4 linked regions of the Saccharomyces cerevisiae S288C genome follow. Changing the gene in region 1 together with any one later gene gives a genetic interaction. Each region holds a gene or a part of one and is shown in the gene's direction. Other genes may lie near its edges. The genes, in order: SYS1, PKR1, GCS1 and APL6.

What was found.
Region 2: mutations in SYS1 (region 1) and PKR1 together harm fitness more than expected from each alone (negative genetic interaction), as found in Saccharomyces cerevisiae (4 studies listed by BioGRID).
Region 3: mutations in SYS1 (region 1) and GCS1 together harm fitness less than expected from each alone (positive genetic interaction), as found in Saccharomyces cerevisiae (4 studies listed by BioGRID, with this or other methods).
Region 4: mutations in SYS1 (region 1) and APL6 together harm fitness more than expected from each alone (negative genetic interaction), as found in Saccharomyces cerevisiae (4 studies listed by BioGRID).

What each region holds. Positions count from the first base shown.
Region 1 is NC_001142.9:426,931-434,085, reverse strand, and holds SYS1 (Sys1p), read left to right. Parts: upstream 1-1,885; coding exon 1,886-2,497; downstream 2,498-7,155. Other genes in the region: dolichyl-diphosphooligosaccharide--protein glycotransferase subunit OST1, read left to right, coding at 1-865; COX16 (Cox16p), read right to left, coding at 1,086-1,442; CYR1 (adenylate cyclase), read right to left, coding at 2,849-7,155. UniProt on the Saccharomyces cerevisiae protein: Necessary for the targeting of ARL3 to the Golgi. Involved in protein trafficking. May serve as a receptor for acetylated ARL3.
Region 2 is NC_001145.3:509,378-516,141, forward strand, and holds PKR1 (Pkr1p), read left to right. Parts: upstream 1-4,215; coding exon 4,216-4,584; downstream 4,585-6,764. Other genes in the region: 60S ribosomal protein eL15 RPL15B, read right to left, coding at 357-971; YMR122C (uncharacterized protein), read right to left, coding at 1,324-1,698; NCW1 (Ncw1p), read left to right, coding at 1,938-2,192; EPO1 (Epo1p), read left to right, coding at 5,079-6,764. UniProt on the Saccharomyces cerevisiae protein: Functions together with the other V-type ATPase assembly factors in the endoplasmic reticulum to efficiently assemble the V-type ATPase membrane sector V(0).
Region 3 is NC_001136.10:48,588-56,111, reverse strand, and holds GCS1 (GTPase-activating protein GCS1), read left to right. Parts: upstream 1-3,938; coding exon 3,939-4,997; downstream 4,998-7,524. Other genes in the region: WHI4 (Whi4p), read left to right, coding at 1-1,715; septin SHS1, read right to left, coding at 2,012-3,667. UniProt on the Saccharomyces cerevisiae protein: GTPase-activating protein (GAP) for ARF1 and ARF2. Involved in intracellular vesicular transport. Required for transport from the trans-Golgi network.
Region 4 is NC_001139.9:1,010,516-1,019,288, reverse strand, and holds APL6 (AP-3 complex subunit beta), read left to right. Parts: upstream 1-2,538; coding exon 2,539-4,968; downstream 4,969-8,773. Other genes in the region: SAY1 (steryl deacetylase), read left to right, coding at 48-1,322; serine/threonine protein kinase BUD32, read left to right, coding at 1,530-2,315; TNA1 (Tna1p), read right to left, coding at 5,200-6,804; ssDNA endodeoxyribonuclease RAD2, read left to right, coding at 8,523-8,773. UniProt on the Saccharomyces cerevisiae protein: Part of the AP-3 complex, an adaptor-related complex which is not clathrin-associated. The complex is associated with the Golgi region as well as more peripheral structures.

The sequences.
Region 1 (7,155 bases):
AAATGACGAGAGTTTACTGGGAAAAGCTAATGGAAACTCTTTTGAGTTTGGGCCTTGGGAAGATATTCCGAGATTTTCTTCAAACGAAACCTTAGCAATTGTTTATTCCCACAATGCCCCATTGAATCAGGTAGTGAATTTGAGAAGAGATATTTGGCTTTCTCATTGGGCTTCCACAATACAATTTGAGGAATATTATGAATTAACAAACAAAGCCGCAAAACTGTCTAAAGGATTTTCAAGATTAGAATTAATGAAACAGATTCAAACTCAGAATATGAGACAAACTCACTTTGTTACTGTCTTAGACATGCTCCTGCCTGAGGGAGCTACTGATCATTATTTCACTGATTTGGTTGGCCTTGTTTCCACGTCGCATGCAGAACGTGACCATTTCTTTATAAGACCAAGATTCCCAATCTTTGGAGGTTGGAACTACAATTTTACTGTCGGTTGGACTAATAAATTGTCCGATTTCTTGCATGTATCCTCTGGCTCAGACGAGAAATTCGTTGCTTCTATCCCAATTCTAAACGGCCCACCGGACACTGTATATGATAATGTTGAATTATCGGTATTTCTTCCGGAAGGGGCCGAAATATTCGATATTGATTCTCCAGTCCCTTTTACAAATGTTTCTATAGAAACCCAGAAATCATACTTTGACCTAAATAAAGGTCACGTTAAATTAACTTTCAGTTACAGAAATTTGATTAGTCAAGTTGCCAATGGCCAAGTCTTGATAAAGTACGACTACCCGAAAAGCTCTTTTTTCAAGAAGCCTCTGTCTATTGCTTGCTATATTTTCACCGCACTAATGGGAGTTTTTGTCTTAAAAACTTTGAACATGAACGTAACTAACTGAGTTCACGTTTGAATGATATATACCTTATGATGCAGAGCAATAAATTCAGTATTTAATTTTTTATAAGTTTTATAGATAAGAATTTTCCAATGAATAAAGGTATTTACAATCATTTCCTAGACATTCTCGTGGTCTTTTCTTTGCACAATCAATGGTCATAGTTTTTTTTGTTTAGTAGTTTAAGGACAGAAGAATAACAAAGATGTTCACGTTTTGAATGTTACCAGACATTCTCAGATTCATCCTTTAACCTAGCGACGCGCACAGGCTCCCAATCCTCTTCAGAAAGACCTTGTAAACGATAATATTCTTCTTTAATATCAAATTCCCTTTGATTCTTCCTTATTTTCAAGATATCCTCTTCATTAATTTCCTGAACTTTACGATCGCCTTGCTCGTACTTGATCGCTGTAAAGCTTGACAACCAAAACGAACCCAATACTATTGTTGCACAAAATGGTAAACCAAAAAAAAGAAAGGGGTGCTTACTCAATGCTTTTTTGTATCGCCCCGCTAAAGATGCTTCATATACTAGCTGCTGTCTTCTAGACCTAAATTTTTTTCCGCTGAACGACATTTAGGAGACAAATTCTGGTAATATTTCAGTTGTTGACTAATATATATAGTGGTTTTTGCCAAAATTAAAGACTTCCTTTTATTAACTAGGTGACCAGATATAAGGAAGTGTATTTGCTTTCTAATAACTTGTGTACGGCCATAACCCGGCTTTTAATCAGTTTATTTAACAAGGTATACAAATCGCCAAACGTAACAAGAGATAGGCGCTATTATTCATTTAATATTGTCGTATTCAAAATACTAACGGTGAACAATTTGCTCCATTGTAACACTATAGGACAAGGCTAATCATGAATAAATATCTCCCCACCCAAAATATTCGTAGCTCGCGATATTCACGGTAATATTCTGTAACTTCATGTTAAGAGATGATCTTTAGGAAGGCTAAGGAAGGGTACACATAGAAGTGAGATAAAAAATAGGCATTTGAATTACTGTAACATGGTTTCGATAAGAAGGTATTTGCGAGTGCCGAATGAGTTGAAACCTTCCCAGATCTTCAAACAAGATTCTCTCTCTCCAAGTAAGATTGGACTTCAAATTGTTCTTTTACAGATTTTTTATTACACCACAGCGATCGTTCTTTTTTATTGTTGGGCGAAGCTAGCGGGATATGATCTCAATATCAAGGAATGGCTGTTTTCTTGGGAGAATATCGACTTTACGAACGCATACGGTTTATCAATCTCACTGTTATGGCTTCTGGATTCATTAATATGTGTTTTTTTCTTAACTGTTATCGTTGGACGGAGTAAACTCGCATGGGATTTTGCTATCACTATACATGCCATCAATTTTATTGTGGTGTTCCTCTATACTCGGAAATTTCCTTCTTTTTCTTGGTTTTTTCTTCAAATTTTATCATCTTTAATACTAATATTTTTGGGGACATGGACAACAAGATGGAGAGAGCTTAGAGACACCTTTTTTGAGGGCTTGGTTGATCCTAATGAAGGAGAAGTTGGATTGGTTACGCCTAGTCAGCAGCATAGTAATCATTCAGAATTGGAGCAATCACCAATACAACTAAAAGACTTAGAAAGCCAAATATGAGAGGAGATGAAACAACATATTCGAGGCAATTTTGGCAATATTATAGTCATTCAAGAGAAAACAGTAAATGTATGAAAAATGGCAAGAACCTTATCTCTATAGGCTTAATAAATCTGCCTTTTTGGCCAATTTTTCAAAACAGATCCTATTTCTTATTTATACACAATCTATATTTAACATAATTAAGTACGTGATGACATTGAAGATAATAATAAGTAAAGAGTTTACGTACTTAAATTTTATATAGTTTTAGTATACTTGCAATGTGTGAATGGATCTAGTAAGCTGAGGTACTTCTCTAGCGTGAATATGAAACGAGTAACAGGGTGGTACATAATTTACGAACAGAACTCAAGTTGATAAATCCTTTGCGTTCTTAACCATTTGTAAAAGTTCGTCAACAACATTGAAAATATTGCTTCGAGCAGATGTTTTATCGTTTCTGCAAATTTCCAGTCCTGAACACCTCTGTTGTCGTAAATGTAATAATGCCACACTGGATTCGATTCTAGTAATTACATGATCAAAAAATAACAACGCATCCTTCTCAGAAATCGATTGCATAATACCATTTTCAACTTTAGGGTTAAATTTAATATAACTTCCCTCCGTCCGAGAGTCTAGTTCAATAAATCCGCCGCTTAAAGCTGACATTATAGATTCCAGTCTGTTTGAAATGACTCTTAAACGAAACAACATCGTTTCATTGATTAATTTTGACTGCTCATCTTCAGATGCAAATTCGTGTCTGGAAGCAAGAATCTTAGGATACGCAATAGTAACGAGTTCTTTGGTTTCGAGTCCCTTTAGCTTATGCTCGCCAAAGTCAAAAAATGCCCAACCAATACTTTCCAGCATGGCAATTTCTCTTTCAAGAACCTCTCCGATAATTTCTTCACCATAAACTTCCTTGAGAGATTCCTTGCCCTTCACTACTCGCTCATGATACTTCATTATCTTGTTGAATTCAGAGTAAAAATCACTACTCATTGCAATCTGACCACCGTCAGCGACGCCCTGGACCCTTGCTGCCTTATTGACCATCGGCCCCAAATAGTCCATTCTTTGAGTCACTAAATCAAGCTCTGGAACTGGGCAGCCCCAATGAATACCCATTCTAACTGATAGGCCTTGATAGATAATGTTACCATTTCTATCCGTAACTTGGCAGCCGTCTTGAACTGAGGTAATTTCCTCCGGCCATTGTGCATCCAAGAGTTTTAATTGAACACTTAAGCACCATGTCAGACCACTAGTTGGCGTAGGAAATGCCACCATAAAGGCGTCTCCTTCTGTCTTTACTTCGTAACCACCGTAAATTCGTAGTTGACGACGCATAATGTCATTGTGAGTTTTTATTGCGGTCCTCATTGCGTTAGGGAATAGCTCCCATAAGAAGGTTGAGCTTTTGATATCAGTGAAGACCATTGCTAGGTTACCTGTTGGCGGAGAAATCTCAGGTTGAAGTCTTCTTAATGTAGTATCCTCGAAAGTACTTCTTCTAGTCATTAAAGAGTTTTTATTTAAAGTGAACCGATTTTGTTGCTGAATGTTCTCGTAAAGAGCAAGGCACAAAATTGTAATATTCTCTGTACAGCCGTAAGCCATGGCATGATCCTTCAACTCAGCTGCGGCACGGAGTGGATCAGTACTATTCTCACGCGCGATATCACAAACTGTATCCACGTCCATGTATTCCCATAACTTATGCGTTGCTACAATAAGCATCTCGTCTGCTTTTGTTAATGTCACGACAGATATGTCGGGAGAAGCATGAATGTGGGGAAGCAAATCAAAAAAACCCACTGCTCTAGACACATCTACAACACCATCTAATTTTCCATTGTTGACATACCCGCCAGATATTCTGATCCTCTCGTATTCTTCCCGCTTTGTTGGGAGATGTTGTTTGGTTAGCGTTTGGTAGTCACCATTGTTTTTGGATAAAATAGCCATACAGTCACCTAAATTTGCAGCGAAGAGTTTCTTCCCTCTGATATATATCACAGTAGAGCAAGCGCCACTTAGCAAGTCTGCATATGAAAGATTGGCAACATCGGCACCATTATCAACAGAATTTAGCATTCCGTTAATCTCCTTATTCAGTTGCAAAAAACTGAAACGAAGTGCAGTTTTTATATTATCATCTGTTTCGTCTCCATACCTTTCCAGTTGTCTGATCAGTATTTTATCGTAAATATCTCTAACAATTCTTGATATATTGTGGCCATAATCTGCATTTTGGTTTTTACTATCATGAAGACATAGTAAGCATTCGTCGTCATTTCCGCGGAATCTTTCAAAGGTAACATCACGAGATGACACATAGTCTCTTTGACCTAATGTATCAGCAACACCGTAGCGCATCCCATTTATTATTGATGCAGTTGTCCTTAAACGGAAATTGACATTTTCATCCGGTACTTTGGTAGTATTTAAAGTTACGTCCATTAAACCTAGTACCTTTAACTGAGGTAATACTGTCAGATCTGACAAATCAGCATCAATATCGTGACTTATAAATGACTTTATTTCAAACCTTCGATTTCCTGAAAAATTCAAATATTTTAGTTCTTTATTATTCCTCCAGTTCCAATCGTAATGATAGTTTGATATATTATACTTTAATTGATTTGCTCCAACATCAAATACACTTAGCTGTGAGAGATTTGATAATTCTGCAGGCAGAGATAACATTTGGTTACTATTCAACATTAAAGTCTTTAAAGAGCTCCATTTCAAAACTGTATCACCCGACAATGTCGTGAGCTTATTACCGGAGAGGTACAATTCGGTAATGCTCTCAAGTTTCATGTGCGATACATCTGAAAAATTGTTGTAAGAAAGATTTAGCACTTTCAGATTGACAAAGCAATTGAAAAGAGGCCACATAGCATCATCAAATTGATTGTCTGCAGCAATAAAAAACATCAGGCTTTTAGATAACTTTGACCCATATGACATGTTATGGTAAAAAGAATTTTCTAAGCTAGAGTTACCGAATGCATTCGATGAAATATTTAGCGATGTTAGTTCAAGGTTTTCCATACCGTCAACAAAGTCCCTTATGTTGTTAGAATGTAGATCTAATGTCCTCAAACTTTTCAGTTGAGATAGCTCGGGTGGAATATACTCTAGTTTGTTTCTCGCCACTGAAAGGAAAACTAATTTAGTCAACTTGGATATCTCCTGTGGCAGTCTAGTCAAATTATTCTGATTAAGTTCAAGTTTCTCGAGGAAAGATAGTTTGGTGAGTAATTCTCCAGGAATACTCGATAACTGTGCCTTGTTCAACGTCAAACTTGTCATGTTTTTTGGATAAAAATCTTTGAAGGATATAGAAGTGATTGGATTCTCTTGAATTTCAAGGGCTCTTAGTTTCGGCAAAGTGTCTTCAAAGTTCGAAATTCTATTATCTGTTAAAAAAAGGTTCTGCAAGTTAGACGCATTTGTCTTAATTGATGATATTCTGTTATATCTTAGGTTCAGCGTCCTCAAATCTGTCATTTCCGATAAGTCGCCTATAAAATTTAGTTTGTTATGAGAAAGGTTCATCTTCGCAAGCTTTACTAGGTACTTAGTGGACTGTGGTAAGCTTTGGATTTTATTATATGATAGGTCTATTTGTAAAAGATTGGTGCAGTAGTTAATAACTTCTGGGTAGTGCATGAACTTGTTTGAAGACAAGTCTAGCAATTGCAGATTTTTCAGTTCAACAAATCCAGCCGGTAGGCTTTCAAGCTCATTACATTGAAGGTTTAATATCGTTAAATTACTCAGTTTCATGATTGAGTTCGGTACTTTTCTTATGAAGTTTCTCTGTAATTCCAAAGATACTAGTTTATACGCCTTAGTGATATTGGAAGGAAATTTAGATGCTCTAATATTAACCATTCTCAAACTTAATAATTTAATCGAGCTTTCAATGAACTCCAGAGGTAGGAATATATTTGCGTTATTAGAAACGTCTAAACTTTCTATTTCTGACGTATGCTGGTAAAAAATGATGGGAGGTGTAGTCAGATCCATATTCCTTAAATCTACGTGAACAAATTCGCTTCTCATTATTCTTTGTTCTTGTTCAGGAGTAAAGTGAGAAGGTGTGACAGGATGGAAAAGAAACTTAAAAACAAAACTTAAATCCTCTATACCCATAATATGAAGTGGGTCTGACTTTCGATAACCATTCAAAAGTAAAAGTTTTCTTTCAATTAAAATAGGTTTCGAAGTTGGTCTCAAAATTTTTGACAACTTTCCCACCTTCAGGGAAATTTGAAAATTCCCTTGCGCTGTAATGTTAAATTTTCTTTTAAGTGCAGGTATTATCTCTTCGACGGTAGTCGCTGGAGTACATGAGAGAGTCGTAAAAGTGTCATCAGTATTGAATATACGAATAGCATAGTGCCTCTTTGGATCTAAATCACTGAAATCTTTATAGTAATGTTCCAGTTGGCACTCGACCTCATCGTCCTTCTCATCTTGTAGTAATAATCCAGAACTCTGGGCACCATCTGGTGAATTCATATTTACCGAAGAGGATGTAAATTTCTTGGTATACGATTTCGTTTTATTCAGGATCGGTGTTTTATTATCCTGCTCTCGGTTGGCCTCCATATACGCGTTAGTGTACGAAGAGGAATCGCTGCAGGAAGATGTAT
Region 2 (6,764 bases), on another chromosome or scaffold:
TTAAAACGAGCGTACATTTATATACATAGATCCGAACGTGATATGCACATCCGAATATTAACAAGTTATGAGAGGAGTCAATTCATTTCTGGGCACATCAGGGTACACACATTGTAGGGTAGGATCTTCTTTATAAATGATAAGTTGACTTCTGCAATGACTTAGTTGGCATGATTAATATTGTTCGTTCCGCTAAGGAAAAAAGAGTCAAAAACTGCAAATTCAAATTGCGTATGCTGCCAAAGAGCGAAGAATAATAAAAAAAAAATAAGTCGAAGAAAAGGAACGATGAAGTAATCAGGTTGAAAAAATGTTCATAGTGCATTATTATTGATCTATATACGGTTCTAACTATTTCATTTTCTATACCTCCATAACGACAGAGTATTTTGTCTTTTCCAGGTCTTTCTTCTGCCGGCCTTGGTGTTGTTGAATTTGTGTCCCTTGTTGATACCCCTGGATTTCTTACCGGTGGCAGTCAAGCCTCTAGCTTCACGATGCTTATGGACGGGATTGCAGATCCAGTTGTACCGAGCATCTCTTCTGATAGCCTTGTGTTGAGGATCAACCAATATAACTTCGAAGTACTTGTAAGTAGAGTCTTGGTTGACCCAGTAGGAGTTCAAGACTCTCAAGTTAGCAGCACGACGGCCAACTCTTTCTTCAGCGGTAGCTCTCAAGGATCTTTGGTATTTCAATTCATTGACACCTTGGTTAGTTGGCTTACCGTAAGTAGCACCCTTTGGAACAGGTCTCTTTCTGTTACCGCGTCTAACCCTGACACGGTAGATAACGAAACCTTGCTTGGCTTTGTAGCCTAGTCTCCTAGCCTTGTCTGGTCTAGTTGGTCTAGCGGCTCTGTGAATGACATTTTTTTGTCTGTATTCCCAGACCCTGACTCTTTGCAAGAATCTCAAAACATCAGATTGCTTCTTTCTTTCTAATTCTTCTAAATATTTGTAGGCTCCCATTGCTTGTGTGGTAGGTAATTTGTGACTGTCTTTACGGTAGCTTTCGCCGATTACTATTGCCGCTAACTTCTCAAGAGTGAATGAAATTATCAATGGCTCCGGTTAATTGAAAACGTGGAAAAGTATCGAAAGGAACAAGAAAGATGTTTTCCGGGTAACGACATATGGAGCATCAAGACAGATACATCTCTACTGACTACATGTTTGTATCATCATTTGAAGAGATTGGAGAAGTATTCTAGCAATCGGTGCAAAAAATAAGAGTAAAGAAAAAAGACGTTTGTTTCCTTAAAGGAGCTGGAGGAGCCTGTTTTGGATAGCGGCGTAGTCGCTTTATTAATTTGGTTATACTTTAAACGCAAAGATGGCAGTACGAAACCAGCAATGCAGTGATTATATATTCCCTACTAAGGAAAGTTGCGCATCCAATGGGAAACATTTTCCTGATCTGTACCTTTGGCAACCTGAATATGCGGTTGGCTGGCAAATAAGGTAGCGTGGAGGCGGTGTTTTTGCCACAAACCAGTACGCCCAATCTATCCCTGCGAGCCACCGTAATGATGCAAATTGCAGTAAAGCAGCGCTTAGCCTCCAGCCGAAATTTACTTCCGTCGAATGCACGTTGGCCAGAATGTCTCTCGTCCCCCTTGTGCTGCGCAAATAACAACGCGTTGGTGCGTTCTGGAACGCGAAGATTGCGAAACACGCCTCCGAACTGACGTAGCATAGAGTCTTTCACAGTATTGCCTAATGCGGAAATCACATTGCCATATTGGTGAAAAATACAATGGCTAGTTTGATCTATTTTTGGGTTATGGTGTCTCGAGCGTAAAAAGTGAAAAAAAAGTATATAAACGATCTGAATTTAAGGCAGAATTCTGTTTGCCGCTCTCAGAATGTACTGTTAATTACTGAGGTCTCCATCAAACACAAACCCCAACCTAATCGCAAATAACCTGAATAAAAATGGCCAGCAGTACTTCCACTTCCGCTTCCGCTTCCTCCTCCATCAAAACTAACAGTGCCTTAGTTTCCAACAATGTCGTTGCCGCCTCTTCCGTCTCTGCTACTTCTACTGCTAGTTCCAGTGCCGCTAAGAACACTACTTCCAGTTCAAAGAACGCTGCTCCAGGCATGGTTGCAAACCCTGTTTCCTCGAAGTACGGTATCATCATGGCCGCATTTGCTGCTGTTTCTTTCGTCCTAGGCACCGGTATTTAAGAAGTTTCTAAAAGCCTTTTTTTTTCCTTCTGCTTATTGTACTATCAAAGGGAACGATTGATTAACAGAAAAATTACATAAAAATCATATCATAATGGACTCGCGGTTGACGCCTAGTTAAACCAATGAAGAGGTGGGCGAACTTGTGGGAGTTATATATATTTAGGCCAATTGGGCCATTGCATGTTTCCTATAATATATTTTAATATAAAAATTTATTTATTAATACAGCAACTCATTAGATTAATCGAGTGGTGGTAAGGCTTTTTTTGCTCGCAATGCGAGCACGTGACAGAAAGTGAGAATGAACGTCTGACATTGCTAGTGTCACGTTCAGAAAACGAGAAGACGGGTAAAACAAAAATATTGATGATTGTTGGTTAGCAATATCAAATTCATTGAAGGAGGTCACAACCGCGAGAGAAAGTAAGATGTCATGTTTTTGAATATGAACCTGGAGCTCGCATATAACTCTTTCCAGTGGCACCTTTAGATTTATTTTAACTCTGAAATGTAGGTTTTTTTTTTTTTAGACAAGTCACGATAAGTAGTTGTTGTTAGCGACTTTATTCACAGCATTTTTTTATGTAGCATTTGTAGAAATAGGGGAATTATATCGGAGTACTCAAGAAACTAACGGGCTTCTGAGTAAAGGGGCTTCCCGATGTAATGGCATCCAAGGTACTTATCTAACTGATTTTTGATTGGAAGAAACATTTAGAATGCAACCTCAATTGTGGGCAATTACGACCAATGACAGCCAAATCCAGTAAGGTTTCAAAGGGATAATTTACTGAGAAAACAGATTTACTATTCTGGAGGCAGGAGTGATATATTCTTATTCTTCCTATCCATGGGAATAACGATGCACTTTTTTATGGGTAAGGTGTGCTCCCAGTTTTTCTTACCAAGAAGTGTGCAATTGGTACGGTAATATCGTATTTGTTTGCACTGATGTACCCACGCTTTAGCCATTTAAGTTATTACGAATCTACTCTGTCTATTTTTTTTTTACCAACTCCCTACCCAGAGGGAAAATGCGTATGCAATCTAAAATACTTTATTTCCCATTCCGTGCCTTAGGCAAACACAAATGGATTTTGGCTGCATACCGAGGGGTCTAGGTGGTGATGAGGTCGCTACAACCCAGGATGGTTATCTCGTTTCTTCGAATTTCCGCAGCAAAGAGGACCCTTATTGCAGGGATGGAACCTTTTCTGCACAAAGCAAAATCCTCAGGATGTTTCTCTCCTCTGTCTTTCTTTGCCGAGCTCCATCGTGCTAGCGCATCGGACAGGAAGCAGTGAAATACAAGAAAAGTATACAAGCAGTATTCCTGCTCAAGAACCCAGTTTTCAGTTATAGTTTCCACTCCTTTCAATAGATGGGAAACTATATATCCATTAACTAAAATGGCCAGTCAGACTATCTCTTCTCCTCACTAGTGCCTAATCTCTGGTGTCGCCACTCCTGCTGCTGCTAATTATAAGGGCAAAGTCAGACCATCACTTACATTGAGGTGAATATTAAAACCAGTGAAGGTTCTGTTTTTCTCGGGAGTATTTCCGGCAGTAACACCGTTACTTATACCAAAGAGAATTTTTCTGTTGGTATGATTACTGACCCTGTCTGCTCGAAGCACGGTATCATCATTTACCGTTGTTTCTTTCGTCCTAGATATCGGTGTCTCAGAAACTCCAATTGAAGATGTACAGGTGATTAATTACGTCTTTTTATCAATCTATTTACCTATATATTTCAATTTTGATTTTTATTTGGCGAGTGACATGTGAAAACTTTGCCTATGAACCTGAATAGCGCATTCATATTTTAAGAACATGGTAGGGTATAGCAGATGTTCTTTAATTTTCTTTGACTGCGTTTACCCGGCGTTTTTTGCTTGACTGAAAATCAAATGAAGAAAAATAGAGATGGTCTTTTCTTTTTGTCATATCCAAGAACACGTCCATCTAATTGATTAGTGCCAAAAATCGCAGGGATATAACTTCGAAAATTTCTCAAAATGGCCAATTTTTTTGTTAGACTGTGGGAAAGTGTATTTGAACCAGGGACCTCCCCCCAGCTGATCATCGCCACACACGTATCTTTTGTTGCACTACTACTGACCCTCATCTGGCTCATCTATGCCACAAACGGGAATATCCACTTCTATGCTCTTTTCTGTATATCACTTTTACTATGGATTACCGTTATCTGGTTTATAAACGAATTATCACACGTCAAATTGAAGGATAATGATGAGCTGGATAAAGATGCCAATAAAAAGGACGACAGTGCCATCAAGGAAGACAGCGAAGACAAGCAAGAAAGCGGGAAATCCACTAGTACTGCCAGACGGACTCAAGCACAATCTAGGTCAAGAAAAGCATAGACAGATACATAATTGACTACATAATTATCTCTGTTATTAGTATATCACAGAGCTTCCGGGTAAATGTCCGCAATTGTAAATTTTTTTGTCCGCTTCAGGGTCTCCCCTGATATTTTTTTTTTTTCAAAAATTCCTTTTTTTTAAATCAAATTTTGGGCTCAATTATGGACAAATGAAGCACATGCAAAGAGTTAACGCGTGCGACTGAATAGAACAACTCTTTCAGCATCGCAAACCCTTCAAATTGTGAATAAATAGGCATTTCAAGTAACTGTGTCAGCAGCACATTGCATAGGAATTCTGATTTTTTGTTTTAGTGACTGCCCTCCTAATTTTTTTTTTTTTAGTTTACGGCTATAGCTAAATTTGGAGCTTTCTTTCATTAATTTTCACCGAGCTATTAATAACCCTACAAAAAGAGCAGAGAGGTACAGCCTGATCCGATAAAGCAGTGGGATAAAAAGTACTCAAAGACTATTTATAAAAAGTTCAAAATGGATGCAGGTTTATCGACCATGGCAACAAGAAACGGTCAGTCTTCTGCTAGAGTTAAATTGAGAAATAACCTCTTGAATAATGATATAGGAAATATTGACATTAGGGATGAAACACCTATTTCAAGGAACGGGAATGACAGCAATATTAACATCCAGCCTTCTTCCGTGCCGCAGCAGCAGCAGCAGCAGCAGCAATACTACCGTAATGGCATGAATGAGGCTCCAATACAAGCGCCACTTCAACAACGTCAAATTCCCATGCAGAATTATTCACAACAGCAACGCCAGCAACAACAGTATAATTTTGAGTATTCCAATCCACATATGAATGAGATTCCCCTCATGCAGCATAACTTCACCAAACCATCACTAAGCAATAATCGCGATAATGTTAATGGTAAGAAAGCTTCCTCATTTACCCAGAGCTCATTTTCCAATTTTTTCAAACATAAGCATCAATTTGGGAAGTCAAAGAAAAACACTAAGGGGACAGGAGGTGGTGGAGATGGTGATGATGACGATGAGGTTATCTTGGATGATTCTGCAAACTCCGACCTAACATTCAATGACATTCAGACCTTCGGTCACAAGGGCGGTGACAAATATGGATATGGTGGTGATTCCACTCCTATCATTCCAACATTGGTGACTAAAGACCGCGGCAATATGAGTAATACTGAGTATAGGAAGTACATTACTAATCAAAGGAAAACCGCAATGAATGCCATGGCTAAACAAACTAAAAATGGTACATTAGCCTCGTTGCCTCCGAGAGCAATGTCTTTGCAAAGTTTCCCGAATGGTAATCCTTTAATGCAAGCACCCACTCCTCATCCTAGATTTCAACCGAATAAAATGGTGAGCGCTAATTATTCGAGATCAAATTCGTTGATGAGTGGACCTCCCGGACAATTTCGACAGCCGCAGCAACAAAGAATGCTACCGATGAACAACTACAACAATCACCCAGGTCAATTCCAGAATACCCCACCAGTAATGCCCTCTGGACAACAGCCACCTCAGCAACCACGTACTCTGTCATTAACTAATGGCCCAAGATATTCACCCCAAAATCCTCGGCCATTCGCAGGTCATCAGCAGATATCACAAAGACAACAACAACAACAACAACAACTTCAACTTCATCCAATGTCTGAAGGCTATCGGACAATGTCTCTACAAAGTCAGAACGTTCCCCAAGGGTTTAATCCATGGTCACCAAATGACAACGATCGTAAAGCTGTGTCCATGAAACAGCCAATCAGTCAATCGTCAATTTCCTCAAAGAATAATTCAGCTTATTCAATACCGAACGTACAAAACAACTCCCTGACTACATTCTCTCCGTCATCTCCTACTGATGCTACAGCAATGCCTAACTCTACAAAACAAGGATCTTCACCACTAAAAAAACAAGTGAACATTGATCAACCTATTGAAAACAAGGGAAAACTGAATGTTTTGCAATTATCCACTCCTCAACAAAACGAGTTAAAGGAAAAAGAAAGGAAGCTAGCTGAAATGGAAAAATCTTTACGTGAGAGAGAAGCACTAGTAGAAGAAAAAGAAAAGGAAAGAGCTGAGAAAAATACTGAAGCAAATGAAGAGGAGGAAATTTCACATGAATCAGACGATTTAAATTTAAGACCTGCGAGTGCGCTAGAGACTGGTTTAAAAGATCTT
Region 3 (7,524 bases), on another chromosome or scaffold:
CCACGGGGAAAGGGAACGGGAATGACGTCAATTCTTTAGCCCCACATGATGTGGATGTTGGCCCCTACTGTCTTTTGCTGAGGAATTTGCCAAAAGACATTACACTAAGAGAGTGTTATTGTATATTTTCACTAGCAACTGGGGTGTCAAGTATAGAACTAAAAAGGGATGATAGAGAACCCTTTAATGACAATGAAAAAGTCGTTGTGGTCAAATTTGGATCCCTTTCTTTAGTAACCCATTATGCTAATATATTAAACTCGAAGTCTGAGATTTTTGGGCCTAGTTTCCCCTTTAGGTCTCACATTGACGTAGTAAATGAACAAACGCAGCTTCCAGTGAGTTTTCAAGAACATGTTTCATCTGGCACTACAAATAGTTCTCCAAAGAATTACCAATTGTCGTCCAGTGCGCAAAATGAAATTCAAAATCAAAGTTTTAATACTATATCATATGGAAAAACTAGTTCCTCTCCATTAGGGCCTTCAGCGGCCAAGCCAAGGCCTTCATTACTTTCAGAGAGATCCCTCCGTTTCTCATTCAATGACCCATTCGGATTGGAAACAATCTCTCAAAGAAAAGAATCCGTACCCTTTCTACGAAATAGCATCTCACAACATGATTTATCAAACGTAACCACCACACCAGTTCCAGCAGGAATGCCACCTCAGAAGGACGCTGGCAAGTCACTTTTGCTACTAGAAAAGGATGAAATAAATGAAAGTATTTGGAATGGTGATGAATTAGTTAATGATGTTGGTAATTCTTCATTTGGTGCATCTTTACAAGAGCCTCCGATGTCATCTACGCCTGTGATGGAGTGGAATGCTTCCTCAACTGCTAATATTCCTCTTTTTCAATTATCTAGCCAAGAAAATCATCAGTCTAATCTGTTGCCTCCATCCCACCATTCAATTAGCCAGGATGTTCCACATATTCAATCACAACCTAATCTGAACAATTCAGGAGTAATACATTCCGCGACTTCTCTACCGCATTATCACTTATTGAACCAAATTAATGCTTCAACTAAGACACAAAGTATTCAGCAGAGCGTTTCGAATGTTCCTTCCAATTTGGACCTGAATCTCCAAACGGAAAATGGCCACCCACAATCTTCTGCTCCTAACGGGTCTTCAATATTCAACAACCAAAAGGTGAATCAAGGCTTTTTAGTGAGTGAACAAGACACCAGTACAATATCACGACAGAAAGAATGTTCTTCTACAGCTTCTGCCTCTGCATTTTCGAAAAATAACGAAACAAATGTGGCAGGTTCCACAACTATTTCACAGGCTGACCTATCACTACTAGCCAAGGTGCCACCACCAGCCAATCCCGCGGACCAAAATCCTCCTTGTAATACTCTTTATGTGGGTAATCTACCTCCGGATGCCACGGAACAAGAATTAAGGCAATTGTTTTCTAATCAGCAAGGTTTTCGTAGATTATCCTTCAGGAATAAAATGAACTCTCACGGTCATGGCAACGGTCATGGCCATGGTCCAATTTGTTTTGTAGAATTTGAGGATGTTAGCTTTGCCACTAGAGCATTGGCAGAATTATATGGTAGTCAACTACCTCACCCCCGCCCTTCCCTCAACAACAAAGGAGGTATCAGGTTGAGCTTCTCTAAAAATCCATTAGGCGTTAGAGGCTCAAACAGTAGGAGTAAATCTGGTTACAGCTTTAATGGAAGTTACGGGAAATCATGATAGATTTAGTATTGCTTTATTAATTTTCTTTTGCTTTACTTTCTGACCTTCGTTTTTACTTTTTGGATTTTGCAGTTTTTTCATGCTCTACTTATTTAGTTTATGCCATATTTAAATTTATCCCTACAATTATTTGACACTGTTTGTATGTGTGTTCCCTTCTTGAAGGCTGTGCTGAGGAAACTTTGTAGTTGGTACATAAATTTTTGATCAAAAGTAAAAATACCCCCGTTCGGTAACTTATACATTTATTTATTTATTTATTTGCTCAGCTTTGGATTTTGTACAGATACAACTCAATCTCTACCCGATGCAATAGAGGCTAAATCAGTATACGTGTCATTTTTTTTAATTTGGCTCCTTGTGCTCTGTTGTAGAGAATTGATTGAAGATGATGAACCGTTTAGTTTATTCTGATTTATTAGTTTTTCCCTCAATTTCAATTCGTGTGCTTTTCTTTCTAATTCTTGAATTCTTTTTTGTAATTCTTTAGCTGACTGGGCCTCTAACTCTTCCAGTTTTTGTTGTCTTGCTAAAATTCTTTCATGTCTCAAGACATATGGAACGGTTTCTGAAATATTTCTTAACTTGGTACGCTCTGGTAAGTCCGGAGAGTTCAAGAATTTTGGTGAAGATTCTGTTTTGATAGATCTTATCAAATTTTCATTTTCTTGTTTTATTTCTCTACCCAACTGTCTCACGGGAGACATTTCCTGTTCATTTTCTGCTGAATCATGTTCGCCATTGTCTTCGTATTCGTTTTCCTTAAAGTTTCCACTTACTTGGTTTCTTGGTGTGTCCGCTCTCAAATTGTTTGCAAGAGTTTGAGAAGAATTGAATTGACCAGTGCTTATCAAAGAGGCAAAGTTGCTTAAACTTGGAGCATTTGACTGTCTCTTTGTAGAATTAGGACCAATTTCTTCAGCGTTGGCCACGGACGATAGTTTTTCGGAACGGTAATTCTCGTAAAGCAAATTTTGCGTGGTGTCTTTGAATTCTTGTAAGTGAGAACCAAACAGGACGTTTTTTAAAACTTTCAAATCCGAAATTTTGTCGTCGTCGATTGATATTATCCCCCACGGATACTCCCTAACGTATCTACCTTCACTATCTCTGGTATCTGAAGTTATAATAGCAAATGGTTGCAAGGATGCCAAGGCTTGATTCTCTTCCATGGATTCCAAATCATCATCTTCAGGGTCAACCTCAAATTTGTAAATTGGGACGTTGTATCTTTCCACATCAAACATAATATTTTTCCTGAATTGAGTTAGCTCCTCCTTGGTGAATGAGTCAGCTCTTGTTATTATTGGCAGTACATTTGTGTATTTGGAGATGCTTTTCATGAGCTCTACATCGACTTCTCTCAGACCGTGTCCAGTGGGTTCAATAAAATATAATGCTACGTGAACCCTGGTGTCCTCAAACCTCGGATTCCTTTTAATTCTGGTTTCCTCAGCTAAAACAATGTCAAATTGTTGTTCTAAATACGACATAACTTCCTCAGAACACAACGAATCGTCCAAGTTTTCGCCTATACCATGCGTCATAATCAAGTTGAAAAACACGGTATCATCCTCGTTCATTTCTGGCTTTCCTTGATCTTTGTTGCCCCCAAGTTCTAATGAAGTGGAGGTGATGGTAATACCTGGTTCCAAATTGGCTCTCATTGGATCGAATTCAGAAACATAAGATGGAATCCCATTTTTCGAATTAAATGAAACAACTTTTGTCGGAGCAATAACTTTTACTTCTGGGTTAGAGCTAATACTAGCATTTGATTTACCGTATTGATACTTATGCGGAAAGATCTTAGTTTCCAATAGATTGTTAGCAAAGGCGGTCTTTCCTGTACCTGCTGGCCCACATAGTAACATTGTGTATGTGATCCCACGTTTATGTTCTTTCTTTCTACGAAATAAGTTAATTGGCGGTGTTGAAGCAGTGCTCATGATTAATAATATATTTTTCTAGCAATTATAAGCAGATCTTTGGGGCTCTTGTTTTATTATTTCACTTGCTGGGTACATTGATCTTGCTCGAAAGCTTGTTATATTCTTTTCGCAGTTTGGCACTTTAAAAATCGCGCGGTTACCCGCAAGCAACGCCAGTTTTTGTCAAGAACCAAATTGCACAACTATATCAAGAATGAAAGCAGAAATATGGACGTGATTCTGAGTTTAAATGGTGCCAATTGAGCAATTTTATCGCGGATTATAGAGCATGTCAGATTGGAAAGTGGACCCAGATACCCGCAGGCGTCTTTTGCAATTGCAAAAGATTGGTGCAAATAAGAAATGTATGGATTGTGGTGCGCCAAATCCACAATGGGCCACGCCTAAGTTTGGAGCTTTCATTTGCCTTGAATGTGCCGGTATCCATAGAGGGCTTGGTGTGCATATATCTTTTGTAAGATCTATCACTATGGATCAGTTTAAACCGGAGGAACTTCTTCGTATGGAAAAAGGTGGTAACGAACCTTTGACTGAATGGTTCAAGTCGCATAATATTGACCTGAGTTTACCACAAAAAGTGAAATACGATAACCCCGTCGCAGAGGATTATAAAGAAAAGTTAACATGTCTTTGCGAAGATAGAGTATTTGAAGAGCGTGAGCATTTGGATTTTGATGCTTCCAAGTTATCAGCAACCTCTCAAACCGCTGCATCCGCTACGCCTGGTGTTGCTCAAAGTCGAGAAGGGACACCACTGGAGAACCGTCGATCTGCAACACCAGCAAACTCTAGTAATGGTGCCAATTTTCAAAAGGAGAAGAACGAAGCTTATTTTGCTGAGCTGGGCAAGAAGAACCAATCTAGACCAGATCATTTGCCCCCTTCTCAAGGTGGTAAATATCAGGGCTTTGGAAGTACACCCGCAAAACCTCCACAAGAACGGTCTGCAGGGTCCAGCAATACTTTGAGCCTGGAAAATTTTCAAGCTGATCCTTTGGGAACATTGAGCAGAGGATGGGGCCTCTTCTCCAGCGCTGTAACCAAATCGTTCGAGGACGTAAACGAAACGGTTATTAAGCCTCACGTCCAGCAATGGCAATCCGGAGAGTTGTCAGAAGAAACGAAGAGAGCAGCTGCCCAGTTTGGCCAAAAGTTTCAAGAAACGAGTAGTTATGGATTCCAAGCATTTAGTAACTTCACTAAAAATTTCAATGGTAATGCAGAGGATAGCTCTACAGCAGGGAATACAACCCATACAGAATATCAAAAGATTGATAATAACGATAAGAAGAATGAACAGGACGAGGACAAATGGGACGATTTCTAATTTTAATATAGTTTTTCTCAACATTCAAGGAAAGTTCAATTCACATTGTAGCTATAATGGAGAAGTGGTTCTGTAAAGTTTACACGTAATACTTCTGTCTCTAAATTTGTATTTTTCATATCTTGACAAGAAGAGGTTTACTCTCTAGGATTATAAATAAGTCTACACCAGTATTCATAAATAGTTACCACAAGGCCATATCGTAAATTATTATACAACCTATTAATTACAAATAGAATTGCAATCCTTTCCCATCGGCGTTGTTGTACTGTTGCAAGGCTAATGACGGCTATTATTAAAAAATGTTTTAGACCTGGGACAATCGTTATCCTTTTCTTCATTATTTGGATGTTTGCGCCTTAAAATTATCCTGGGCACGAGTGAAACAAAGCTAAAACCTTTATTTAGCATGGCCATTGAATGTAACAATTATATATATCGCAAGCACAAAAAATCAAGGAGAGAGAACTACCACTTTGTTCATGTGTACAATGTTCATTATCTCCATAAGCAAAAAAAAAAAATAGAAAACATATGCTATAAGGTTGATATTCTCACGAGTAAGCGGCACTTGCTACTTATTGACATTGCAGATTTTTGGCTACAGAAATAGTATATTAGAGATTATAATTGCTAATCAAATCAAAATATAAAATTAGTAAACCAAACCATTTATACCCTTCCTTAGTAGTTATGGATTGTTTTTTAATGATATTTCTGCAAACCAAAGAAAGATTGTTATCCAGATAGAATTTAGTTTTGATATTCATTTTTTTGTTGAAGATTGAACGCCATATCTGGGCCTCATAATTCAAAAGACGGTGCCATTATCGGTAGCGTTTCGCATTGTACTGGATTTCAGAAATTTCACAGTTGATGAATCGAAAAGAATGGTCTCATTGCAACACGTAAGGTTAAGATGTCCCTTTTTACCATTATAGGCAATAAATGAATCATAAAACGACCGTATACTGGTGAAATAGTAGGGAGAACGAGTACCTGTAGTAAAAAGTATAAATCATAGTTAATCGGGCAATGTCCCTCGATCAAGGAGTATTGTGTCATGTTCGAGACAAACGCCAACATTTTTGTTTCTTTTGGACAAATGTTGTTTGCATTTATGATCCGTTATATTTTGATCTAATGTAGAGTTGCACGTAGTTCTTACTGGCAAAGAAATCGATGCATACCAAAAAAGAATAAAGGTGATATTTGATCTTTACCGTTTAGTTCCAACGTAAAATTGTGCCTTTGGACTTAAAATGGCGTGGCAGAACTAACTCTTTATTTTTCCAAATCAGAAAAATTAATATGTTTTGCCGCGTTAAAACCTACATCAAAAAAGGCGGATCAAGATGTATGAAAGAAAGTGCGTAGAATAACGAACATTCATAGCTGTTCTGGAGGCTTTACAAAAGGTAATCTTTGTTAGGTGCGATTTTATCCGAAAAGCAATTACTCTCTATGTTAGTCATACAAACTGACTTCTGTGAGAGAATTATTTTCATATCAACGTAAGATCACATGGTTCCTTTATCAAGTACTACTATCATTCCATTATATGACCTATTTACTTCTTGAATCTTAGAGCTCATAATTCAAGCAAGTTGCGGAGCTAAGAATTTCACATGTTGTTGAACTTAACAATCTTCATTATACCCAATCGCTGCGTGCTGGAATTATGTTAAAAGTTACATCCTTTTTTTCATTTTTCCCTACGCTCAGGGCACTGTACTGCCCGTGCCTGCGATGAGATACATCAATTTAAAAAAAAAACCAGCATGCTATAATGCTGGAGCAAAAATTTCAATCAGAAATAGAAAAGACCTCAACAGTAATTAACCCAAAGGGGTATCAAATAATCGATGTGCTTTTTCACTCTACGAATGATCTGTGAGAAACTGATTTGGGCCGAATCGCGTAAAAAGTTTGATTCGTGGCGGCTAATGTCTGAGGGGCTCCAACAGGCTCGTAGAGCCTCGTTTCTTGAGGGCACAAAATGTCCAGGTAATATTCCCAAGAAAGAACCGCAGAGTGCTTTGATAAATCGGTTACAGGTCTTAACGTAGGTTTTGTCTCGCTAATTGCTATTGAGTAAGTTCGATCCGTTTGGCGTCTTTTGGGGTGTAACGCCAAACTTATTACTTTTCCTATTTGAGGTTGGTATTGATTGTTGTCAAAGAATGAAAATATACACAAACGCCACAATATACGTACCAGGTTCACGAAAACTGATCGTATGGTTCATACCCTGACTTGGCAAACCTAATGTGACCGTCGCTGATTAGCGGATCACGAAAAGTGATCTCGATACAATTAGAGGATCCACGAAAATGATGTGAATGAATACATGAAAGATTCATGAGATCTGACAACATGGTAGACGTGTGTGTCTCATGGAAATTGATGCAGTTGAAGACATGTGCGTCACGAAAAAAGAAATCAATCCTACACAGGGCTTAAGGGCAAATGTATTCATGTGTGTCACGAAAAGTGATGTAACTAAATACACGATTACCATGGAAAT
Region 4 (8,773 bases), on another chromosome or scaffold:
ATGAGAACAGCACAAATCAATTTTAAAGGAAAAGGTTTCAAAGAAGAATGGCAGCCAACTCTGGTCTCGACTCAAAAGTTGAATATTATCGGCTTCAAGAGAATGAAATTATTAGCGCTGTATCAAGTGAGGATGCAGATCAAAATGATGCGGGCTTTCGATTGAGTACCATCCATTTGCATTTGTTCCATGGATTGAAATTTGCCGCTCTATTGTTCACAGTGGTGCCTGTATTTATAATCCTCGACAGTATGAAGATCATTTTTCAACGCAAACGTAGGTTTTGCCTTGACCATGTCAACAGAAGTTTTTTAAGACAAAGTTCTTGGATCCTCGATGAACGCATCTGTCAATACGTGCTCAATCCTTTATTTGTTTGTTTATATCCTTCTACATTTTCTAGTCCAACATATGTCAAATGCAACATTCCTATAGAAGATCAGAAATCTCCAGAAAACAATATTTTCCAAGACCATCAATTAAACGCACCCAAAATAGTTAGCACAAAGTTTTATCAATATGTTATGCCGGAAGGATTTGACCCCACGACAGATCCAGTTTTAGTATTCTATCATGGGGGTGGTTATGCTCTTAAATTGACGCCTACGTCGTTTTCTTTCTTGAATAATATGCGAAATGCCTTTCCTAAAATGGCCATTCTTGTACCAGATTATACCGTTACAGCTACCGATGACCAGTCGAAAAAGTACCCTCTGCAAATTTTACAAAATGTGGCCATTTTTGATTACGTTGTTAAGACTATGGGGTGCAAAAATGTAGTGATTATGGGGGATTCTGCTGGTGGCAATGCTGTTTTGAACATTGTTTTATATTTAAGAAAGTGTCACAGAGAAATATACCCGAAAAAAGTCATAGCCATAAGTCCCTGGGCCAATGCCACTTTCTTCCACGAGGGAGAAAAGGAATATATGCAAGGAACACAAGAATGGGATGGTCTATGTTTGAAGAGTCATTCGATGTTTGGGCGAATGTTTGTAGGAAACAACCCAAACGTCGATTTTACCAGCGACCCTTTTGTTAATATTGAAAAGAATTTCGAAACTAAAATGTGGCAAGATATTCTGAAAAAGTGCTCTGTGATGATTACTTATGGTAGTGATGAGTTGTTGAGCTTTCAAAACAAGATCTTGGCAAAGAAAATGAGTGACGCTAGCGAGGGATGTAACCACTTTACCGCCAAAAATGTGCTGGTTGAACACCAAGGTTATCATACGGGCCCAATATTAAACTACTCTCGTAATATGGATCGCTGGACCAACATACCATCTATCGCTCGCATTCTTGAGTTTATGCAATCCTGAATTTGTCATAATGACAATTACATAACCCCTTTTATATACATAAATATTTGGGTCAGCACAAATTTATTTTGATTTTCCATTATTTTAGCAGCAACAAGGTTGAAAAAATCGCCGGCGCATCACCAACTTGAAGGACAAAGATAACCTTACTTGAAATCAAATAAGTGATGAATACGACAGCGGAAAAGGTTATACGCTTTGCTCATTATGACGCAAGAATTCATTGATAAAGTATCTTCCTACCTGACTCCTGATGTGGACATTGCACCTATTTCTCAAGGTGCAGAAGCCATTGTTTTCACAACGACTACTCACCCATATCTCCCAAGAGCAAAGGATTCTCATCAAAAGTATATTATCAAATATAGGCCACCAAAGCGTTATAGACATCCACAAATAGACCAGGCACTAACAAAACATCGTACGTTGAATGAGTCGCGTTTATTGGCCAAATTATACTTGATTCCAGGGCTATGTGTCCCTCAACTGATAGCGTGTGATCCATACAATGGATTCATTTGGTTAGAGTTCCTTGGAGAAGATCTTCCCGGAGGGCACGGTTTTAGTAACCTAAAGAACTTCCTTTGGATGCATGACCAAGATCCATATAGTGATCTTGTAGCAACTACACTACGGAAAGTGGGGCGCCAAATTGGGTTGTTGCACTGGAATGACTACTGTCATGGTGATTTGACAAGTTCTAACATTGTTCTCGTGCGAGATGGTGCGAGATGGACGCCTCATTTGATTGATTTCGGTCTGGGCTCAGTTTCAAACCTGGTCGAAGATAAAGGCGTCGATTTATACGTCTTAGAGAGAGCTATTTTAAGTACACATTCGAAGCATGCGGAAAAATACAATGCTTGGATCATGGAGGGGTTCGAAGAGGTCTATCGTGAACAAGGTGCGAAAGGTGCCAAGAAACTGAAAGAAGTTACCAAAAGATTCGAAGAGGTCAGGTTGCGTGGTCGTAAGAGAAGTATGCTAGGATAATATAAATGCTAGCGTACTGCCTGTATATCGCTGCACATAATATGTATCTATAATTTATATTAACGTACATAACTTTTAGGTATGTTACCATCAAAGCGTGTCCGAGTTATTGAGATTTTGACAAATTCAGACAAATCATTTTTGAAGAACCATATATATAAATATATAAAGAAAAGAAAGGTAAACCAAAGACAGCAAACAATCGAAAAGTGGACAACCAGCAATGGTAGATTCAATTCACCGTATTGCATCGGCGTTGGATACGGCCAAAGTAATAACGAGGGAAGCTGCCGCGGTAGCCACCTCTAAGCTGGGTGAATCCTCCTATACTTATTATTCTCAAAACATCAATCCTCAACAGTTAGTCACCTTGTTAAATTCTAGGAACTCTAGAGAAGTTAGAGATGCAATGAAGAGAATAATATCTATAATGGCTTCCGATGATGACTCTATTGACGTTCAATTATACTTTGCTGATGTTGTAAAGAATATCACCACTAATGACACCAAAGTGAAAAGACTTATTCACCTGTATTTACTTAGATTTGCAGAAAATGACCCAAACCTGACCCTGTTATCTATTAATTCTCTTCAAAAATCATTGTCTGATTCGAATTCCGAACTGAGATGCTTTGCTTTGAGTGCCCTTTCTGACATGAAAATGTCATCATTAGCACCTATAATTTTGCATACTGTCAAGAAATTGGTTACAGATCCATCTGCAATGGTTCGTGGTGAAGTCGCCTTGGCCATTATCAAATTATATAGGGCTGGAAAGAATGACTATCATGAAGAATTGTTGGATATTCTGAAAGAATTAATGGCAGATACAGATCCTAAGGTGATATCCTGTGCTGTCCTAGCTTACAAAGAATGTTATGCGGATCACTTGGAGCTATTGCATGGACATTTTCGCAGATATTGTAGAATAATTAAGCAACTAGATTCGTGGTCACAATCATATTTAATTGAGCTGCTAATCAAGTACTGTAAGCAGTATTTACCAAAACCAACTGTGGTCGATAAATCATCAGAAGGTTCCCCAAGGAGTTGTCCTTTACCAGATAAATACAACGAGATTGAATACCCATCTTACGAGGTGGTAAATGACCCTGATTTAGATTTATTTCTACAGAGTTTGAATTGCTTAATTTATAGTTCCAACCCTACAGTGATTTTATCGTGTTGCAATGCGCTATATCAGTTAGCTTCACCATTGCAGATGAAAAATACTAAATTTATTGAAGCATTGGTTAGAACGGTAACCATGACAGAAAACCAAGGTAACAAAGAAATGCTTTTACAAGCAATTCACTTCTTATCGATCTTAGACCAGACACTATTTTTACCCTACACCAAGAAATTTTACGTTTTCCCCAAAGATCCTATTGTGGCATCAATTTGGAAGATCCAAATTTTGTCCACGTTAATAAATGAATCAAACGTTAAAGAAATATTCAAAGAATTGAAATATTATGTTGCCAGTGCTCATTTCCCAGAAAATGTTGTTATTATGGCGGTTAAGTCATTATCTCGATGTGGCCAATTGTCAACGAGTTGGGAATCACATGTAATGAAGTGGTTAATTGATCATATGGAATCCCACAACCTCTCTGCTTCTGTCCTAGATGCATACGTGAATGTTATCAGGATGCTGGTGCAAAAAAATCCTACAAAACATCTTCGCATAATCTTCAAGCTTGCAGATTTATTAACAGTTCAAACGAGTTTGGCTGATAATGCTCGTGCAGGTATTGTTTGGTTATTTGGTGAAATTGCCTCGATTGAATTTAAGATATGTCCGGACGTTTTGAGGAGGCTAATCCAGAATTTTTCAAATGAGGGTCCTGAGACAAGATGTCAGATCTTAGTGTTATCAGCAAAACTGTTGTCATATGACATTGATAATTTTAAGCAAGCGCAAGTTACTGGAAGCGAAGAAAATAACCAAAATCCCCCATACTATGATTTTAGTGGTTCAAGAATCTCTCAAATGTACAATGCGGTCCTTTACTTGGCAAAATATGATGACGAATTTGATATTAGGGATAGAGCCAGGATGATTTCATCCTTGTTTGATTCAGGGAAATATGAAATTGTGTCACTACTATTACAAGCACCTAAACCTACGGCAAGAAGTGACGATTTTATCGTTTCTGCAAGATTGGAAACACATACCCCAGAAATAAAAGAATTTTTTAGAATGCTTCCTTGGAATACTGAAATTACTGAGGTTGGCGAGACAGGTAACGATATTAGAGAAGGCGCAGAATTGAAAGACTATAACAAATACAAAAAAAGTTTTTCATCGCAGTCTTTTATTACCAACAACTCAGCAAGATCTTTCACATCTAGCTCCAACGCAAAATTGACTGGGATCAATGACGGCGATAGCAATAGCATCTCAGGTAAAGGTAACGTAAACACCTTCACATCTCAAAACGGGAAGAAATATCGTTTGCAAAGCCTGGACGAGTTTTTTTCCGACATTCCAGAAAGGAAGAGTAAACCAAGGAAAATTATAAAGGTGGTGGAAGAAAGCAGTGACGAGGATGAAGACGAATCGGAAGAGAGCAGTGACGATGATGAGTATAGTGACTCTTCTTTGGGAACGTCTTCTTCGGGAACGTCTTCTTCGCATCTGGAGCTTTAGAACTCGGAGATAATACTATATAAATATGTATATTTATAGATATAGATATAGGCATGTATATCTTCCCAGTAATATACGTGTTTGGGACGAAAACAAAAGAGAAGTTGGTAAACAAAGTTTCATGTGAATTTGCTTAGTACAAAAATACATACAAATATAAAAGAAAAGTTACAAATTGCAAACACACTCATAACGAGGGGCAAAAAAAGTGGAGGGTGAAGAAAGTCAAGCCTAATACATGTACTTAAACTCAGGGTTTTTGTCGCTTAACCTTTCGTCGTATGGAATAGGCTCTCCCAATTCATTACAGCGATCTATTATTGCTTTCTTTTTATCGTTTTCCCTCTTGTATAGGAAAATTTGCACAACCGTCATAAATATGGAGAAGACTTGAAAGGCCAGACTAATCGACAGCCCTTTGATATATCTTGGCTTGTCTTTGGCAACAAAAATTTGACCAGAGACCAACCCTGAACCAGACCCGAAAAATAGATTAATTCCTAAAGCGGTGGCTCTCTTGAAGTAATTACCAGTGTTACCACTTAACCATAAACAGTTACAGGCAGCATTAACGTAAATACCCATACAAAGAATGTAAACGCCAAAATATCTCACACCATGAACTTGAGAACCAAGGACGATAGCTATGCCTATCGAAGTCGTCAGACAAGCACCCAGGATGAATGGAGATCTCAACTTTATACGATCAGACCAAACGGCACAAATGAAGAACACAATTGCTGTAAGGAAATAGATGGGCACGGTCATTAATTGAGCTCTGACATTAGTGAACCCCATACTGGTAATGATGATCGGCAAGAAGACTGTTAGACCAAAAGTAGTCAAATCGATACCGAATAATGCCACAGCACTAGCCCAAGTCTTGACATCCTTAACTGCTTGCCACACTTGGAACCATTCAAATTTTTCGTCCGGGTCAAAAGTGTTCATAGTCTTGTATCTTTCGGAAATGTACTCTTTTTCCTCCTTATTGAAAAACCACGAATCCTCCAAATTTTTGCTCAACCCGAAGGCATAGAATGGTACGAACCCCAAAGAGATACAACCTTCGACAATGTAAATGTATTGCCAGTCCTTTAGAGAACCGCTGATTTTGGAACAACCATAAGCAATCAGCCCACCAAAAGATGAAGACAAACAGGCTGCACTGAAGACAAAAGCGAACCTCAGAGCATATTGTTCTCTTCTATAGCAGACTGAAAGGTACATGTTAATAGCGGGATAAATCATACCTTCAAAGGCACCCAGTAGTAGTCTGACAACGATCAATTGAGCATAATTCTTAACCCAAGCAGTTCCGAGCGAAATAGCACCGAAACAGGTCAAACAGATACTCATCATTAATGGCGGACCCATAATTTTCAGAAGGTTAGTACCTATGGGGTCGAAAAGAACATACGTCGCGAAAAAAACTGTGACACATGTGTTATATTGCGTTCCTACAAGGTGGATATCCTTGGATAGACCTGCAACTTCTGCGTTACCAATATTCGATTTATCCAGGTTAGAAAGGAAATATAGCATCCCCATAAGAGGAATCAAGTATATATCCATTTTGCGCAAGACACGCTTTTCCATTGGATGGGAAGGGGAGGGGATGCCGTCATCATCCGTGGTAGTAGCCATAATTTCCCGTTCGGTGGCAAGTTCCGACTTCTTGTCATGGCTGCGATTATGCAAGCTAGCGTCATGGCCTTCATCTTCCTGGAACGTGACTTCCGTAGGCTTTTCTTCTGATCCATCATTGGTGGGTGATATGAAAAGCACATCATCCACCAAATGCTTAGGTGACTCCATTGTAAATTTGTTGCTCATCTAGAGGTAATGACAATAGTTCAATGCTCGAAAGTGAAGAAATATTTCTTTTTTTTTTTATATAAGCCTTCTGCGCAGTCGTTTTTTTTTCAGTCGCTGTCTCACGGGGGAAAATAGTTTGAAAAAGGCGAAGAGGGGGAAAACTGTGATGTGAATACGACTTCTAAGACAGTAAATATGGACGTATGCTTATAGCTTGGAGAGTTAGTTAATATAGAGAAATATAAATAGTAGATAAGAAGTACATATGAAACAAAAAAAAAATGGCAATAAAATAACAAAAGGATCTCGAGTAGGAACATACTTCAAAGAAAGGAAAACTCATGGTTTATATATTATCCAGAATTTTTAACGTAATCGGAGATGCGACAGATATTTCAGGGTGTATGGATGAGGTCAAAACAATACTAATCACACACGCCGCGAAGCCTTCGACGGTTCGTAACCTGTCCTCATGTGTGACGCATAGGATTCTACGGTAGATCCCGAGTATGCCCGGCTGTGATTGGTAACTATGATTGCGAGTAATAAGCGATCCGGCGTCCGGTGGTATTTTCTATTTTGTTGGTGCGACCGCTTCTTCGCAGAGAATGGGTGACTTGTAAAAGGAGAGAGACACTGGAAAAACCAACAGAATACGAGCAGGAAACTAGAAAATAAAAAACTAAAAAAAAAAAAAAACAAAAAGGAAAGGAAAAATTAGTAGAAGCCGGCGACGATTGCAGAATCCAGAGGGATACCGCTGTAACAGAGAATACGGGCACCCAGACAAGTGACTGGCGCCAGACTTTGTTATTTCACCTGGACCCGAATAATAATATTAAATAGTGATAATAATAATAACATATAGCATAAATAATAATGTACAAAATAATAATAATAAATAAATAAATGGTTCACCATGGACTGTACAGGCGTTCCGGAACGCACATAGTGACAGTACAAGACCTGGTTGTGTGCCATAATGGCCGGCATGTGAAATCGCGGCTTCTGTATATGTACATATCTGTTCTTTTACCATGTCGTCCATTTTCCGTTCACTTTAGCCAACACGGCGACGTTGTGCGGAATTGATTTGAAGTCGATTTTTTCTATGGAGTATTCCCAAACTGCCCCCAAATTTTGCAAATTAGTGCGCGGGGTGAATGGGTGCGTCAGAGCATTTACTGACACCTGGCGGCATAAGCAGCGACGTATCGTGTCCAAGGCAGGCCATAGCAAGAGCGTTTGTGATTGATTTTCAAGGCGCAGATACCATTGGAACACAGTAGCGCAGAAGGTACTCCTCAAAAGAGACAGAGAGAGAAATCAGAGTCAGGGAGCTTAGTAGCTGCTGTTACCAATATTATACAATAAGTAAGGTTTGCATATGCGGAAACTTCGCACTTGAATTTTTTTTTTTTTCTTTTTTGGTAGCTTTTTGATGTTTCCAGAGGATGTGAGTCAATGAGTGGTGTGACCCCAATACCACATTTTGTTGCTGTTTTTTTTTTTTCATTGTTAATTATCACTATTTTTTTTTCTTTCTAGTATAACCCATTCGAACCTCCGTGGAGGCATTAAAAGGGAGAGTGAAAAAAAAAAAAAGAAAAGAAAAAGAAAAGATGCCGCCACATATAGAGACCTTAAAGGGATTGAAAAACTGTACGTAAATCATTGAAGGTTCTACACGTCATCCATGAAGAAAAGCATTTTCGGGAGAACGCCAAACTTCAGACATGGGTGTGCATTCATTTTGGGATATTGCAGGTCCTACGGCAAGACCGGTCAGGCTGGAATCCTTGGAAGATAAGAGAATGGCAGTAGATGCCTCCATTTGGATATATCAGTTTTTGAAAGCTGTCCGTGATCAGGAGGGGAATGCAGTGAAGAATTCTCATATTACTGGGTTCTTTAGAAGAATTTGTAAGCTATTATACTTTGGCATTAGGCCGGTATTCGTCTTTGATGGTGGTGTGCCCGTATTGAA